Linked DNA regions of Caenorhabditis elegans. The protein of the gene in region 2 interacts with the protein of the main gene of each other region in a pairwise test. Each region holds a gene or a part of one and is shown on either strand. Other genes may lie near its edges.

What was found.
Region 1: the proteins of C36E8.4 (region 2) and madf-5 interact in a two-hybrid assay, tested with the Caenorhabditis elegans proteins (one large-scale study listed by BioGRID).

Annotation. Positions count from the first base shown.
Region 1 is NC_003280.10:14,570,500-14,578,317, reverse strand, and holds madf-5 (Alcohol dehydrogenase transcription factor myb/sant-like protein), read right to left. Parts: upstream 4,704-7,818; 5' UTR 4,673-4,703; coding exon 4,371-4,672; intron 4,102-4,370; exon of another isoform or gene 3,909-4,101; intron 3,831-3,908; coding exon 3,125-3,830; intron 2,511-3,124; coding exon 2,409-2,510; intron 2,355-2,408; coding exon 2,193-2,354; 3' UTR 1,757-2,192; downstream 1-1,756. Other genes in the region: nspb-7 (Nematode Specific Peptide family, group B), read right to left, coding at 1-5; C01G12.13 (uncharacterized protein), read right to left, coding at 290-361, 407-568, 619-713, 767-944, 1,033-1,226, 1,271-1,361.
Region 2 is NC_003281.10:4,008,702-4,017,272, forward strand, and holds C36E8.4 (SH3 domain-containing protein), read left to right. Parts: upstream 1-3,634; 5' UTR 3,635-3,642; coding exon 3,643-3,786; intron 3,787-3,903; coding exon 3,904-4,070; intron 4,071-4,275; coding exon 4,276-4,792; intron 4,793-4,838; coding exon 4,839-4,958; intron 4,959-5,390; coding exon 5,391-5,531; intron 5,532-5,626; coding exon 5,627-5,752; intron 5,753-5,989; exon of another isoform or gene 5,990-6,010; intron 6,011-6,183; coding exon 6,184-6,318; intron 6,319-6,694; coding exon 6,695-6,847; intron 6,848-6,896; coding exon 6,897-7,040; 3' UTR 7,041-7,073; downstream 7,074-8,571. Other genes in the region: pxd-1 (PSI domain-containing protein), read left to right, coding at 1-434, 847-912; tbb-2 (Tubulin beta-2 chain), read right to left, coding at 7,365-7,558, 7,614-8,087, 8,165-8,571.

The sequences.
Region 1 (7,818 bases), on a different chromosome or scaffold from region 2:
AACATACTGAACTGATTGAACTGACTTGAAAGTGTCGATGAATTGTAGAGGAATTGTCTACTTTTATACCAAAATCTAACAAGACAGAAACCCAAAAAAAAACCCTAGAATAACCAGTACTACTCTATTTACATTGTTGGCACATGAAGGCTTAGAGAATAGTAACAATTGCCACTTGGTTCATGCAAATAAAACCAATGATCATTCCGGAAAAAAATGCTCGCAAGAGCAAATAGCGGCTCTTTTTTGATTTTGGAGGCGAGAAAACTTTATTGTAATTCAAAAAAGATCAATCTTCCTCCTTTTCTTCCAAAATTTTCTTGGTGAGCTCTTTGACATACAACTCATTGGACTTGGGCTCCTAAATAAGTTTCTTTTAAAATTCTACGTTTCCCCTGAATCTTACAATCAAAGTAGCATCTCTGATCATTTGTGACTCAATTGACACCGTATCGATGACCGTTTTCGCAGCTTCTTGTTGTTGCTTCTTACGTTGAATATGCGAATTTTGAGACTCAAATTGGATTGAAGAAACATTTTTCATTGTGTCGTCTGGGCTTTGACGTGACTTGAAATAGTTGAAAATAAGATAATGGAAACTCGAAATAATAAAATAACCTCCGATCTTTGAATCTGGCGAATCAGTTGCTCTTCCAGCTCCTTCTGCTTGGCCTGCTCACGAGCTTGCTTTTTAACAAGCTTCAGCTTCTTTCCTGTAACCTGATAATTAGGATCCATCAAAAAATCAAAAAATCTATGTGCTCACCACCATCCGGATCATTTTCAACCAGTTTCACATTGCCAAGATCTTCGTCCGTCACAGTCAAAGTTCTGGTCTTTTTCTCCTTCTCATCCTCACTCGGCTGCGAATTCTTGGTATCTTGCGATGGTTGCTGCTCGTTGGATTCGATAGATGCTGAAGGTTGCGTTACATCTTCCAGCTTCTGAAAAATGGATCACTGTATGCTAGTTACTAAGCCTGCAAATATTTTTGAAAATCGCAGCGATGGGTCCGTCCCTATTTAGAATTACCATTTCCTTCTGATCCACCTCCCTTTTAACAACAGTCTCCACCACAGCCTTTTCGAATTGTGGTTGTTGTTGTTTCTCCCTCTTTTTTCGCATTTTCTCCCGATTTTCTGCAATTTTCATCTTCCGCTCCTTCTCCAGCACGGCAGGATCGGTTTCGTAACGGATTGGTATCACTTTTGGGGGTTTCTTTGGCTCTGGAATCTCCCACGTTTAGTTAGAAACATTAATCCTAACCTGCCCTCTTTCGGTTTCCCTTTCAGACAATTTGAGGTTATAGTCATGAAAAACATGATCGCGCAGATGACGTTGTAGAATAATAATTGATACATTGTGCAACTTTAATTGACCGGTTGGAAAGTTGAAACAAATTGTTGGAAATAATTCATTTTGCATGGAAGATGTTATCGGTTGAAATTGTGGAAGTTCACGTGAAGGAAATTTTTGGAAAAAATGTGGGAAAAATTACAAAATATATTTGATATGATAAAACTTCTGAAAAATGTCTGAAATATTTGGGCAAGAACTTCTGAAAAAAAAAAAAATTTTCGGAAGTTTTTTAAAAACTCCTTTAAAAAACTAGAGTTATCTAGCTGTTTCCAGAAAGGTCTAGCAAATAAAAATTCCTTCTTCTCCAAAAATTAACAATTTCAGGAAAATCTCCAAAATACACAGAACAATTCAGAATCCGCGAGTCGGAGGGAGCACGCGCTCTGTCCAAAACCAAAAAATACACGTTTATTATAAAAAAATCGTGGTACAAAAATATACAGGCAAGATGATGGTGTTTGTAGAGACTAATTTCAAAAAATAAAAAAAATGCTGAAATTATGGAGGGAACAAAAGAAAAGTGAAAGAATTGCGCACTGACTAGACCGACGGGGAGTGAGAATACACTAAAAACTAGTTTTTGAACATTTTTCGTTTTCTACATTTAATAAAATGAGGAGAGCACCAATAAGAAAACACAAAATAGATATTTTGAAAAATAAAGGAAGTGTTTTTTCAATGTTACAGTAGCCTACCAGAATTTAGGTCTCGACACGAAAATAAATTATGCGCCTTTTAAACCGATCAGGCATATTTTTGCATTTTAGCTTGAAGGCGCAAATCATTTTTTCGTGGGGGGGGGGACCCATATACTACAAACAAAAGACTAATTTTCAAGCCGTTGGAATTTCATTTGCCGTTGGCTCAACTGCGCAATCTTCATCGTGCTCTCCGGTTGGACTATGTGCTGATGGACTGCTACAAGAGTCATCATTGTCTACAATATGGTGGGTGTCATCGGTTTCGTCCAGTAGTGACATTATTTGGTGACGGACCTGAAAAAAGTTGGAGTCTGAACTTGTTGAATATATCTGAAAACAATCTCTCACCTTTTTCCGTTTTTTCGGGTCCATTTTCTTAAGCTTCAACCCAATTATCCGGCTGTACAATAAATCCTCATCATTGAGCCATTCAAGAGCAACCCGACCGACCTGGAAAAAAGTTATATTATTCTAGAAATTCTTTCTTAAAATTTCTAATGTAGGAACACGTTATAAATTTTTGAAATTTGCTGAGAAAAAATCCTAATTTTGGTAAGAAAATCCAGAAACTTCGATTTAAAAATCTCTTAAAACTTGAAATAAATATTTAAATTCGAAAAATTTTTTTTAACTAGAAACACTTAAAATGTTTCCGAATATATTTTTTTAATAAAAATTAAATTTTAATAATCTAGAAAGTAATTAAATGTAATTCAGAAAACCAAAAAAAAATTCTGAAAATTATACACTTCAACCTTCAAAAAATCATTCCGAAAAGTTCATTAAAAAATTTTTTAACTTTAACATTTTTTCTTGAAAATCACTAAATTTTCCGAAAAAAGGTAACATTAAAAAAAACAGAACTAAATCCGAAGTTTCCAAGAATTCAGCAAACTATTTTCAATCGCATCTAATATTTTTTACAAAAAATCTAGAATTTTTTTTTAATTTAAGAAAGTTTCAGAGAAATTATTTTAAAAAAATCAAAAATCTCCAAAAAATCCAGGAAAATCACGATCCTTCCGAAAAAAATTTTTTTTACCAAATGTTCCAAACCCGCTCACCTGTTGCAAATGATATCTCATAACATTATCCGCAGTCTGCTGCCTATGCCTATTCCTCGCCGCCTCTTTATAAGGATGGAAGTGGCTCGTAGTGGACGCGGTTGGCGGTGGTGTTGAAGGTCGGAGCGGCGGGATCGCTGCCTCCTCGGATTTCCTGGCTCCATTGAGCATTGAACTCATCCCAGTGAGCTGTGCAGCAAGATGGTGTGCAAATCTAGCCTGATTCGCTGCTATGAGGGACTCCACTGATGGTTTCTGTGGGGTCTGTTGGACCTGCTGGACCTGTTGAGCCTGCTGAGTCTGCTGTTGGCTCTGAGCACTTATAGCCTCCTTGAGCATCGCCATAGCTTCGGATTGACTTTTCACCTTTTCTGGGCCATCTTCCTCTACTTCATCTTCATCTTTTATTTTAAGATCTTCCTCCTCATCTCCATCCCCATCAACTCCATCTAGATTTCCATCGAGACTTTGAGTTCCAGATTCATCATTTTCAATTTCAGGGGATATACTGTCCAATCGTTGGGCGGTTTGTGCAAGTAGTCGGTCTAAAACCGAAGATTCGAGTGCTGGATCACTATCATCATCTTCCATCTCGTCTTTTATTGAATTTAAATTTGGAAAACCGAACCAGCTGAACGGTGTGCCTGATGGCTCATCAAAAGAGTCAGATTTACCAGTTTTTTTGCCTTCATCTGCTGCTTGACCACTGCAAAAAATAGACTTTGAAGATGAGAATTTTAACTTATAATCGCGGAGTTCTAAATTATTATTTTTTACTTTTCAGATTCTTTTTGATATATCTTGAATTAATTTTTTGTAGAAAATTTTAATTTTTTTTCAAAATATTAAATTTCGAATCGATCAGTTTTTTGTCGATAAATTGTTTTTTTTTTAATTTTTATAATTTTTAATTTAAGAAAAAAAAGAATTCTGGAATTTTAATTAAATGTTTTAGTATTTTTGAAGTTTTTTTTTGAATTTGATTTTATCTACAACTTTTGATTTTTTAATGAGATTTTTCAAATTTTTTTTTCTGAATTTTTGAAGTGTTAATTTAGACTCTTTAGATATATTTCAAATTAGGTGAACTTATTTTTTAAATTTCAGTTTTTTGTTTTGATATGCCTACAAACCAAAAATTTCGCGGTTTTTCAACAAAAAAATATTAGAAAAAATATTAAAAAATTAGCTTTGTGATGGCCAGAAAAAAACGAGTTGAAAAATAATTATGAAATTCAATTCTTACATATTATCCTTCAAAAACGGGTCCAACCACGATAATTGATTAAAATAACACCATCTAACAGGTGTCACAAATCCATTTTTAATTGCAATCTTTAATTCTTTCCGATATCGATCCCTCAGCTGCAACCATCGTTTCTTCGCAAACTCTGCCGCACAATTCGGGTCAATATTTTTGGCGATTGATTCCCAAAGTCGTTGACGTTCCATTGTGTCCCCGCTGCCACGTCGTGAATGATTATATAGGCACGGGTACTTACGAACCTCGTTTATCAGACGGGCGTTAAACGCCGGCTGGAAGGCCATCTGTTTGAGTGGATTTAAATTTAGAAGGGGTCTGAAACGGAAAAATTTGAGATTTTTAGAAAAAAAAGGCTAAGGGGAGTCAGAAGCTGGGATAATCTAGAAATGGAAAAAAGGAAATAAGACATAAGAATATATATATATATATACATATATCCGTTTTTTGTTTCAAATGTTGAATTATTTTTGAAAATTATTCTTTTAACTATTTTAATTTGGAGAAATGTAGAAAAAATTGTGTAATTAAAGGGAAATTTTAAAATATTCATATTAAAAAATTGTTAATTTTTGTTTAAAACATTTTCAAAAGATTAATATTTGCAAAACCCAATTTTAAAAAATCTTAAAATTTCTAAAATCAACACAAAAAAATATTTTTTGAATTTTCAGTTAATGTTTTTTAAATCAAAATTTTTCTGAAATATTTCTGATAACAAAATATTGAAAACTGGTACTTTTAAAAAAGAGAATTTCAAAAAAATTTAAATCAAAACATTAATTTTGTCGAATGCCGAATTGTTTTTCAAAATCATTTTCAGATTTAAAAATTTTCTGGAAACTTTAAATTGTGAGATTTTTTAATAATCTAGATTATAACTTTCTGAAATTGCAGAAGGTTACGTTTTAGTACTTTAAAACAAAAATCTTTTTAAAAAAATATTTTAATTTTTTTGTCAGAAATTTAAGTAAATTTTGGCAATCTGCCAAAAAAATCTCTGTAGATCATGCAGAGGAATCTAGACACAAAAAGCCAAAAAGCCTGAGTGTGTACTACGACATGGTTAGTCTTCCAAAATGTAATAAAAAGTTTACACACTCTTTCGTGTCATTTCTCTCTTCTTCAATTCCATCTAAATCTCATGATAAACTACCGTAAGACACAATTGAAATGGTTTAGACTGAAAATCTAGGAGAACCGGTAGTATGTGTGGGTGGAGATGGAGTAGAAGAAGAAGGGGAAGAAGCTCTATGTTTTTTCCGGTGCAGGAAAATTGGAAAATTGGGGGATATTCGGTTTTTTATTTTGCTTTTAGTTGAAGCTTTAAGCGGAATTGGGAATGAAAATTAGAGGGAAATTGGTTGACGAAAGTTGCACAAAGTTGATGAAAATTGGTGATAGTATAGCGAAAGTTAAAATAGACTGAAATTGAACAAAAGTCTGCCAAAGATCTACCACAAGTTTGAGAAAAACGCAACTTCTTGAAAAACACTGGTGAAAATTGATGAAATTTTGGCGAAGGTTGGTCGGAGTTCGTAAAAACCTTGCGGGGATTGCTGAAAGTCTAGAAAAAATTAACAGAAGTTGGCAAACGTTGCTCAAAATGTCGAAGATCTGATAACAGTTGCAGAAAATTGTCGTAGATTCAGAAGAAGTTGTTTCTTGCCGAAAGTCTAGCGACAGTTCGCGAAAGTTGTTTTTAAAAAATATTGAAAGTATAGAAACAATTCAAAAAAGTTGGTCAAAAATTGAGCAGCAGTTTGGAACTATTGCAATTGCTTTTTGAAAGTTGACAAATGTCTAACGAAGGTTGGCGAAAGTTGGCAAAACTTTAGCAAAATCTGATAAAAAGGTATGGATTGTTGTAAAAATAGATAATTCGGGAAAAATGGAAAATGTCATTAAACACAATATCTCAGCAGGGGGTGGCTGGCTGACAATCTCCCCCGGTTAGGCTTCTCCTTCTTTTCTTCCCCCAACACAACCATCTTCATCTCCTTCAAACCGAATCATATCAGATAAGAAGCCGTTGATCCGCCCGAAAAAGGAAGGAAACGAACAAAATCCGGATTGCGGACATCCGAACTGAAGCTGGGGTAGGGGCAAAATAGTGTGGAGCAGCGATAGACGCAGAGGTGGTGGAGACCGGCGGAATGGGATGGCGGGGATCGAAGACGTTTAACACAACATTCGACTATGATAACACATTTTTAGAGTGATTTGATTTGATTTGTTTCTGTTTTTTCAGATTTCGGTTTGGGTATTCCGGATTTTTATGCTTTTAGGAGCAGGTGACCGCGAAAATAAAAATAAAAATCGGCCATGGCGTGACTTCAAAGTTTCAGAAAATTTTTAAAATTTCGGAATTAGAATTTACCTTCAAAATATCAAAGGAATTTCAGATACCTGCTCTTGGACCAAAGAAAAAAAATTAAGTATTTTAAAAAATTATAGAAAATGTGTTTGTGAAACTTTCGTAAACTTTCGTTCTTTTTTTGAGAATAAAAATTGTTTCCTAAATACTCAGAATTTGTTTAATTTTCTAGTTCTTTTCTAAACATAAACTTTTATTTAAAAAATTTCTAAAATTGGAGATTTTGTGAATTAAAAAAAATTATTCAAAAATTACCGATGTTTTGAGAAATGAAATTTCCTGTTATTTCAGTATTTATCAAAAGTGAAACTTTATAAAATTCCGGATAAAAATCCTTTAAAAATCGAAAATTCGATAGAAAGCTTGTAATTTTCTAATAAAAGTTTGAAAATTTCCAAAAAATATAAATACTAATTTTTTCAGAAAAACTGAAAGATTTATTTTTCAGCAAACTCTTTAAAAATTCAGACAAAAATCAGAAATGTTTCCCAAAATTCGAATTAAAATTAAATTAAAAAATTTTCCAAAAAATTCAATGCCTACGTGACTCCCTTGTCAGGAGGGAGGCGTCAAAAAACTCGAATGCAGTAAGTAAAGTTGGGAGAAAAATCGGGAAGGGGGTAACTGTCAAAGTTTGGTGAGCTCTCCTCCCTGTGCCGAGCCAGCTTTTTCGGTTGAAAACGAGCAAGAGAGCAGTAGCAGTATTCCTCTGTGTCTCTCAGAATTCCACACTCTCTAACTTAGTAACCAAGCTCCCCACGAGCTCTTACAGTAAATGGCAAACAATTGAAAAAGAAGGGGGAACGGAAAACCGGCGGTGCCGTTGGGGTTACGCAAACATTTGGTAAATAGTGAAGATTATTGTGGAGAATTTGAGGACATTGAGAAAAAAAATTGGTGAAAAGTAAACCTTAGACATTACAATGGGTCGTAGAGACAGTTTTTGAAAGAAATATGTTTGTGTGTGGTGAGAAGGTAAGTTGGGAAGAGTTCAGGAGGGAATTGAAGCGCTAAAGTTTTGAAATTTCTAATTTTCTTATTTAAAAAATTTCAGAA
Region 2 (8,571 bases):
CCACTCTCCCCCACTTCAACTGCCTCTGGTGTCATGCCAAGAAATCTCATGGAGGACCTTTCTGCACCGATGAAGCCGGCCTTCATCGTCGCCGTCAGCACTGGTTTGAAGGGAATTGCTATCAAAGAAGTAAAGCGCTGTATTGTGATGCTGATGATGAAGATGAAACATATGATGAAGAGGACTATCCAAAATCTCAGTTAATGCCAAATGGAGGGCACACTGTTCTTCCATTGGATGCTGATAAAATGAAAAAAACCGATAAAACAACTTCAGAGGATAGTGATGAATGGAAGGGACATAAGAAGAAAGAAGAGCCGAAGGGAGGAGTTGCCACGTTGACTATGATTGTTGTATTCCTGGTTTGTATAGTCGCATGGCTGGCATATGCATATTACAATCCACATACGACTAGTGGACAAATTTTAATCAAGGTGAGCTCAACATTCTCTATTTTCTGAAAAATTTGGAAATGCAAATTTCCTTTCAAAATCTGAAATTCTACAGAAATGAAACTATTAACCAATCAGGTGGGTGAGTGTGCTCGGAGCGATGCGCTAAATGGTCGAGTATCATTTTCACTCTGACTAATTTTTCTATTTGAATTTCCACTGAAATTGAAAATTCTGACCAATCAGCGTGTTGCTCAGACTACTTCTGCACCAATCAGTAGAAGTGGGAGGAGTCGGGCATCGATAATTGGTTACGAAGTAGTCGAAGCGACGCGCTGATTGGTCGGTGTTCGTTTATGAGGAATTTCACAATTTAAGGAGAACATCTTTTTTTAACAAGACCCATCTAAATCAATTCAGTACGTTCCAGAGTAATCACCCTTTTCCTTTTCAGTACCGCCCATCCCGTTGGCACATCCCAAGCAGCCACGTTCGCTACAGTGCTTCAGTTCACATGTAAACTTCCAGAAGTTTCAGCTCTGGACTTCTAGAATTCCCACCACAACACTTTAAAATTTAACGAGTTTCACACTGGTGACCTACCATCGAATTATCACTAATCGTTTTTCTTTCTTTTCCTGATTTTTTAATTTGAATTTTGTTTGCTTATAATCATCTGATCTCCTCCTCCTCTTCACAAAGATCAAAAATAGAAATATTTAATTATATTATATTGCACCAAAGTGTCCTTTTCTTAGAGCTTGTATATGACCTGTTTCTGGTTTATTCAGCATTTTTTCACAAGGTTTTGAAAGGTTTTTGCAAACGCATAATATAGAAATTCTATTGCAATAAATATTTACAAAATTATCCACAGCCTATGCCTGCCTACGTTCAAAATACCAGGATTGTCATTATTTCTTCGAAGAAAAAACAAAGGTCGCTCGTTTTCTAAAACAGCTTTTTTCAATCTATTCCATCAGTTGACTGTATTACCATTAACATTATTAGCATCATAAAATCTATTACAGACAATGACCGTAAGATTCCGTCGTGATGGAGAAGTTCTTGTTGTTGACAGAGAAGATAATCATGACAGTTTCCGATTGAAACCGTCTGTCCGTTAGGCAACGAATTATCTGAACAACACAACAACACAGTTATTGCATTCTGTCACCCTATTCTCTCACACGGGTGCCTCTCTCTCTCCCCAACCCGGCAATGCCGCCCCGACGCTCAAGCCGCTATCCAGCCGGACGAGATAGTGTCAATCGGTGTAGGAGACGCAGAGATGTTTGGAAGAACGCACTCTACTGCGACACAACCGGCGGGTCCCCTCCGACCATACACTTACTATTCATCAAGCCAGCGCCCAAGATGCCCACCCTATCCAAATGGTTTCCGATTTCCAATTGAATCAGTCTTCCTGTTATCTAGTTTCCAAAAAAAATTTTGAGTTTTGCGCGTCAAGTATGATGCCTTGCTGATACATCACATTTTACGCGCAAAATCTCTAACTTCCACAAACAGTAACAGTACTACCAAACTTTCTCCCGCAAAGAAATTCAATCAGTTCCCATAGTTTTTTGTGTTCATTCAAATTGGTTTTGCACGTCTGTCATGCAAGGTGTCTAGTCATGAACGTAACTACTATTGTTATGTAAGATGTGTGTACTTGGACTGGTATTCGAGTCTTCCAGTATTCAACTTGATATTAGGGAGGGTTAGAGAAGGCTTTAGGAAACCTAAAGTGTCATTAAAGTTGCGTCAAGTTCCAGCAGCCGACATGTTACTTGTTTTTTTTTCCATTCAACTTTAACATCTCATACCTCGGTTCTCATTGGTTTTACCAAAAATGCTTTCAACTGATATATTGTAGCTTGAATCTTTACCTATATTTTCAAAGTTAAACATTTTTTGATAAACTCAAAAATGACAAATATACAAGCAGGATATTTACTTTAAATAATTTTTAATATCAAATATTATATGTTTGGTTACTTTTATTCGAGTGAACAAACATGTCATATCGCATCCATCACAATTCTACTCCCTACCTGTGACTTTATTGTTTCCAATTTTATCACAAAAAAAAATGCAGAACTAAATGATAAGAATTGAATTTCCGATTTTTTCCAGCTGACTCATTCTAACTGCCCACGACGTGCCCATTTTTTGGTTTTGAAAATATTCATTTATTGATTTTACTTTTAGAAATTTTGACAGTGTATACATATCTCAGTTTCTATTGGTTTTTTCAAATAATTGCTAACTAAAAAATACGTATTAACTATTTTTCTATTTTTTTGTAGTTAAAATTTTTTTGATAAGTTAAAAAGCAATTAAATTATGTGCTGTCAAAGTTGAGAAAGGAATGCAATAAGGAATATACAGTAATTCCGCTATCTAATGTTCAATCCTCATTAATAACAATTTTTCTCTAATTTATTTCCAAATTTACAATCTATTTTTCTATTTTTCAACAATTCATCATCCCTCTCCAATGTGACCTTAATCGATTTAAACTTGCGATAGTGATGACCTCCGATGACCAATTTTCTTCTGTTCAAATTAATTTTTCCTGTCAATGATTTTATCGCTTTCCGTAGGCATGTAATTTTTCATGCCTACCTACTTGCATATTTCCTTTTTTTTTCTTCATTTGAAAGTTCTTATGTACAAATCAGACGCCTTGAAGACAGATTTTGAATTGAACTCATCATATAAATTTTAATGTTCACATTTTTCTGCTTTTTCTGCTTTCCTATAATTTTTTTTGCAAAAAAGCCCTCATTCTTTACTGGTGACTAACAACATCTAGCAGGTGTCCCAGAGTGAAAGGGCCTATGAAAACCTATACGTTGTGTAAAGTAATGCACTAAAATTCGATCTAAGAAAAAGCTTGCTGTTTTCGAGAAGTTCCTGAGAAAAAAGTTGTTTCCGGTTCAATATTTTTGCTCGGAGAGTTTATTGAACCATGCTTTTTGAAAAGGTTTCAGTTTATTTGACACAAAATTCTTCGTAGGTGTTTTCTTTTTTTTTTGTGAAAATTGAAAAATTATAACCAAGAATTATTTTGTCTTTGTTGTACTTTTAAGTAATAGTAAGGTAGGCAAGGATTTATGCCTACACGCCTGCCTACTTGGCTATATTCCTACTCATTTGCCACCTACTTTATACCTACTTGAATTACCTTTTGTCTCAACTAGATTACCTGAAAACGTTTATAATTTTCATTCCAGCCATCAAAATGAACTCCCGAATGTCAAAACTTCGCCGGAGTATATCCCGCAGTGTATTTCAGTTGAACAGCTCATTGAGCCGACAGAATAGTCTTAATGGACTTGTTGACTTGCCAACTATGTCAAATACTACATTAGTAGATAAGTTTGCTGTAAGTTTTTTTCCTCGAAAGATCACATGAATTATTTACCGTGTTTCAATTATTTGTGTATGCAATGCTCTTAGAAAATCAAACAAGCCACCTGCCAACATCAAAATTTCTTTGCAGACACCGAGCAATTTCCGGCAACTACGAGACCTGATTCGCAACAATAACGAGTTACTTGCCGAAGTTGTGACTGCTTTTGAAGAGAAAGCAGCGCTTGATTTTCATTATTCGAAAACATTGAAAAAGATATCAATTCGGTTGCATAAATTGACACAAAGCGTTGAATCGTGAGTAGATGCTAAATTCAAAATTGCATAATTTGTTCAAAATATTTTGGCGAGAAAGTCAAGGATTTGATTTTTTTAATTTGGTAATTCAGAATTTAACAATTTTTCAAAAAAATTGATGGAAACTATAGTGTGTCTTTAAAAAAAGACTATATTTTAAAGGGGCATACATACATTCAAAAATTTGCAAAATATCTTATTTCAGAGGTATCGATAAAGGCTGGACAAATGTGGCAGAACAATTTGATATTCATGCTACTATTCACAGTAACTTAGGATCTGCAATCACTGAAGATATCATACAACCTCTTAGATCAATTCAATCAAATCAGCAAAAAACTATTCGAGCAGCCGACAATTTCGTAGAGCGAGAAATTCGAAAATTGAAGGATAAGAAAGATGAAACTCAAAAAATGAAACGAAGTCTGTACGTGTTGGCGAAAGAGCTTGAAAAGACTGAAAACTCGGCTGAACGAGAAAAAGCTCAACCGGAGAAGTTTGCACTTCGCCGGAAAAAGTACAAAGATCAGATGATTCGAAGTGAAGATGATTATGTATGGCAGACTGTTGATCTGGAAAAGCAGAGAAGAATGACTGAAAATGTGTTACGAAAAGGTGTAGAGAGTATGGAATCAGTGGAGAGACAGAGATTAGCTCATTGTCAAACTGCATTGGGACGGTATAAGAGAAAGATTGAGACGTTGGGACCGAATTTGAGACAAGTTAGGGAAAGTGAAATTTTGAAATTAGTCAATATTTTATTTTCAGATGTTTGAAAGGCATTCGAATAATCTTGAACTTGCGGTAGATTCTGTTCCGGAGGATTATATTCAAACTATTCAACCATCAACTTCAGCTGTCAATCATATTACCCTGATTGATCTTCATGTAAGTCTTTTCTACGGGAATTACTTTCCTAGAGCACGGAGCAACCGTGGTAGAAGAAAAAATCGGCGGCCGAAAAGGTGTGCGCCTTTAAATAGTACTGTAGTTTTTTCTCACGATTTGTTGAAACTTTATGTGTTTTTATTGTTATATTTAAGTTTATCAAAGATCTATCTAAACAGAAAATCTAAATCTATCTAATAATATACAACTCCACAGAAACTCAAGTATTCTTTGAAGACACACACTTTTTCTCTATTAACAAAAATTTCTCCAGTAGCCGTATTTTGGCGGAAAAATCGCAACATTTTGCGTCTGGATAATAACCTTCTAACTGAAAAACTCTAACATTTTTGAATTTGCCATTTTTCCAAAACATTTTTTTCGAAATTGCAATTGTTCAAAAATAAATTTATATTACTTTTTCGTTTTCAGGCTGAAAATTTCGGAGAAGTCATGTCTTCGACACGACGCCGTCAGAATCTTGAACGAGTTTCAGGAGTATTGGATTCAGAATTGAAGAGACTTTACAACAATCAGACAGCTGACGTTATGGTGTCTAATTCAAAGCAAATTGTGGGTTTTTGGAAAGAATGCATGCCTACTTTATGCCTATTTTCATTTTTTTAATTGAAAACAATAGGAAAAACCAGAATATCTAATAATTCCAGAGCGTTTTGGAATTCATCGAATATCTGTACTACAAGTTGAATGATTCAATAAATATTGTGGATGGAGGTCAAAATCGAGGTTTTCACAGATTATCCAGGTTTCAACATAAGATTAAAGATAAATCGGTAAGCTTTTTACAATTTTTAAAAACTCAAATAAAATTATGAGATTTTCGAAAAAAAATTAGAAAATAAAACAATTTATCAATTCTAGTCTTTAGACACGACATTTTGTGATTTTTCAACAAAAAACGGTACTCGGTCTCGTAACGACAAATTTGTGTTTAATACAAGAATGAGTGCGTCTTTAAAGAGTACTGTAGCTTCAAGCTTTTATTTCTTCCAAAAACTATGAAAAATCGATGAAAATGCGGCAACAAGAAAAGTTTAATTACAGTACACTTCAATGGTTCACAGCTTTTTGTATTGAACATAAATGTGTCGTTTCGAGACCGGGTACCATATTATTGGCGCCAAACAAAATTTTCAATTTTTTTCGTACCGAAACCCATTCCGCACCAGGCGAAGAATAACATATTAATAAAACATTTTTACAGGGTCTTCCAATGACAATTCTCACAATTCCATTATCCGGTGATAATAACAGTCTTCCACCACCTTGTCTATCAATGGAAGCATCAACTGCTTATCCGTCACCACGTGGCAGTGGAGAGTACGAAGAATATGAAAAGGTATATTTAGTTTTTATTACGAATTTTAAAATTATTTTCACTTCGAATATTACCAAAAACTTACGATTTTAAGCCAAAAATACAATCTTCTATACAATCTTAAAATACAATCTTGAAACGAAAACAGTTGTTAAATTCGAAGAGGCGTGCGCCTTTAAAAATTACTGTTAATTATAAATTCTGTTTCTTTTCATAGTTTTTCAATAAATCTCAATCAAAAATCGATAAAAAATTCCACACCAATAAGTTTTAAATTACAGTACTATTTAAAGGCGCACGCCTCTTCGAATTAAACACCCTTTTTCGTATCGAGACCGCGTACCGTATTTCTGCCGCGAAAAACCCATGTAAGTAGTAATCATTTTTCAATCTTCAGATATCCGACGACGGTTTCTACTCAACAACAACAACATCATCAAATGGTGGTCCTATTCGAACAACTACAACTTTCGATGAGCCCACTTCAAGTCCACCGACAATTTGTAGAGTTCTTTATGATTTTGAGCCGAAGCATGCTGACGAGATTGAGGTGGCTCTATTTAATTGAGATCTATATTATAAATCTGAATTATTTTAAGATTAGAGAAGGTCAATGTGTTCTTGTCGAGGATCGAATAGGAGATGATTGGCTCATTGGGCACGTTATAAGCCAACATGACAATTCTTCAATTGATCCACGATCTGGAAGATTTCCAACCACATATGTTTCTCTTAGGCAATGAGACTTTTTTCTTGGCGGCACAATAAAGTTTCCTCTTTTTGTTGGGTCACTCAACGAACACAATACAAATATTTGAGCGCTCGCATTTTTCTCAACCTTTCGGGTTTAAAGCACTTCAAAATGGAATTGAAGAGAGATTGTGAAAGTACATCAGACAGAATCACATTTTGATAGCATTCACTTCACTCAGATGCAAACTTTTCAGTGACTATAAAAAGTCATAAAATAATAACATTAAAAAAGCAAATAAATTAGCGAGAGAATTTTTTGACAAAAAGAAAGAAGAGTGATAGAGAAGAAGGGAATGCTTGAAAGGATCTTGCATTTATTGCTCCGATTCGTAAGTCTCTCCAGCTTCTCCCTCAGCGTATCCGTCGACGTCGTCTTCGGCAGTTGCTTCTTGGTATTGTTGGTATTCTGAGATGAGATCGTTCATGTTGCTCTCGGCTTCGGTGAACTCCATCTCGTCCATTCCTTCTCCAGTGTACCAATGGAGGAAAGCCTTGCGGCGGAACATAGCTGAAAAAATAACGTTTTTAAAACTGATACTGGATGATAGTTTCAAATTTCTTACCAGTGAACTGCTCTGAGATACGCTTGAAAAGCTCTTGGATAGCGGTCGAGTTTCCAACGAAGGTGGCAGCCATCTTGAGTCCTCTTGGTGGGATGTCACAAACGGCGGTCTTGACGTTGTTCGGGATCCATTCGACGAAGTAGGACGAGTTCTTGTTCTGAACGTTGAGCATTTGCTCGTCAACCTCTCTCATCGACATGCGTCCACGGAACATAGCGGCCACGGTCAGGTAACGTCCGTGTCTTGGGTCACAGGCAGCCATCATGTTCTTGGCATCGAACATTTGTTGGGTGAGCTCGGCGACGGTAAGGGCACGGTAAGCCTGGGTTCCCTTGGCGGAAAGTGGTGCGAATCCTGGCATGAAGAAGTGAAGACGTGGGAATGGAACCATGTTGACGGCAAGCTTGCGGAGATCGGCATTGAGCTGTCCTGGGAATCGGAGACAGGTGGTAACTCCGGACATGGTGAGGGATACTGAAAATTGTAATTATTAGGTTTCAATTTGGGTAACTTGTGCATAACTTAAACTTGAACAAGAAATAATAACTTACCAAGATGGTTCAAATCACCGTAGGTTGGGTTGGTGAGTTTGAGGGTACGGTAGCAGATGTCGTAGAGGGCCTCGTTGTCAATGCAGTAGGTCTCATCGGTGTTCTCAACAAGCTGGTGGACGGAGAGGGTGGCATTGTATGGTTCTACAACTGTGTCGGACACCTTTGGCGATGGTACAACCGAGAATGAGCTCATGATTCTGTCTGGGTACTCTTCGCGGATTTTGGAGATGAGAAGTGTTCCCATTCCAGATCCGGTTCCTCCTCCGAGAGAGTGAGTGAGTTGGAATCCTTGAAGACAATCGCATCCTTCGGCTTCCTTGCGGATCACGTCAAGCACATTGTCGACAAGCTCAGCTCCTTCTGTGTAGTGACCCTTGGCCCAGTTGTTTCCGGCTCCGCTTTGT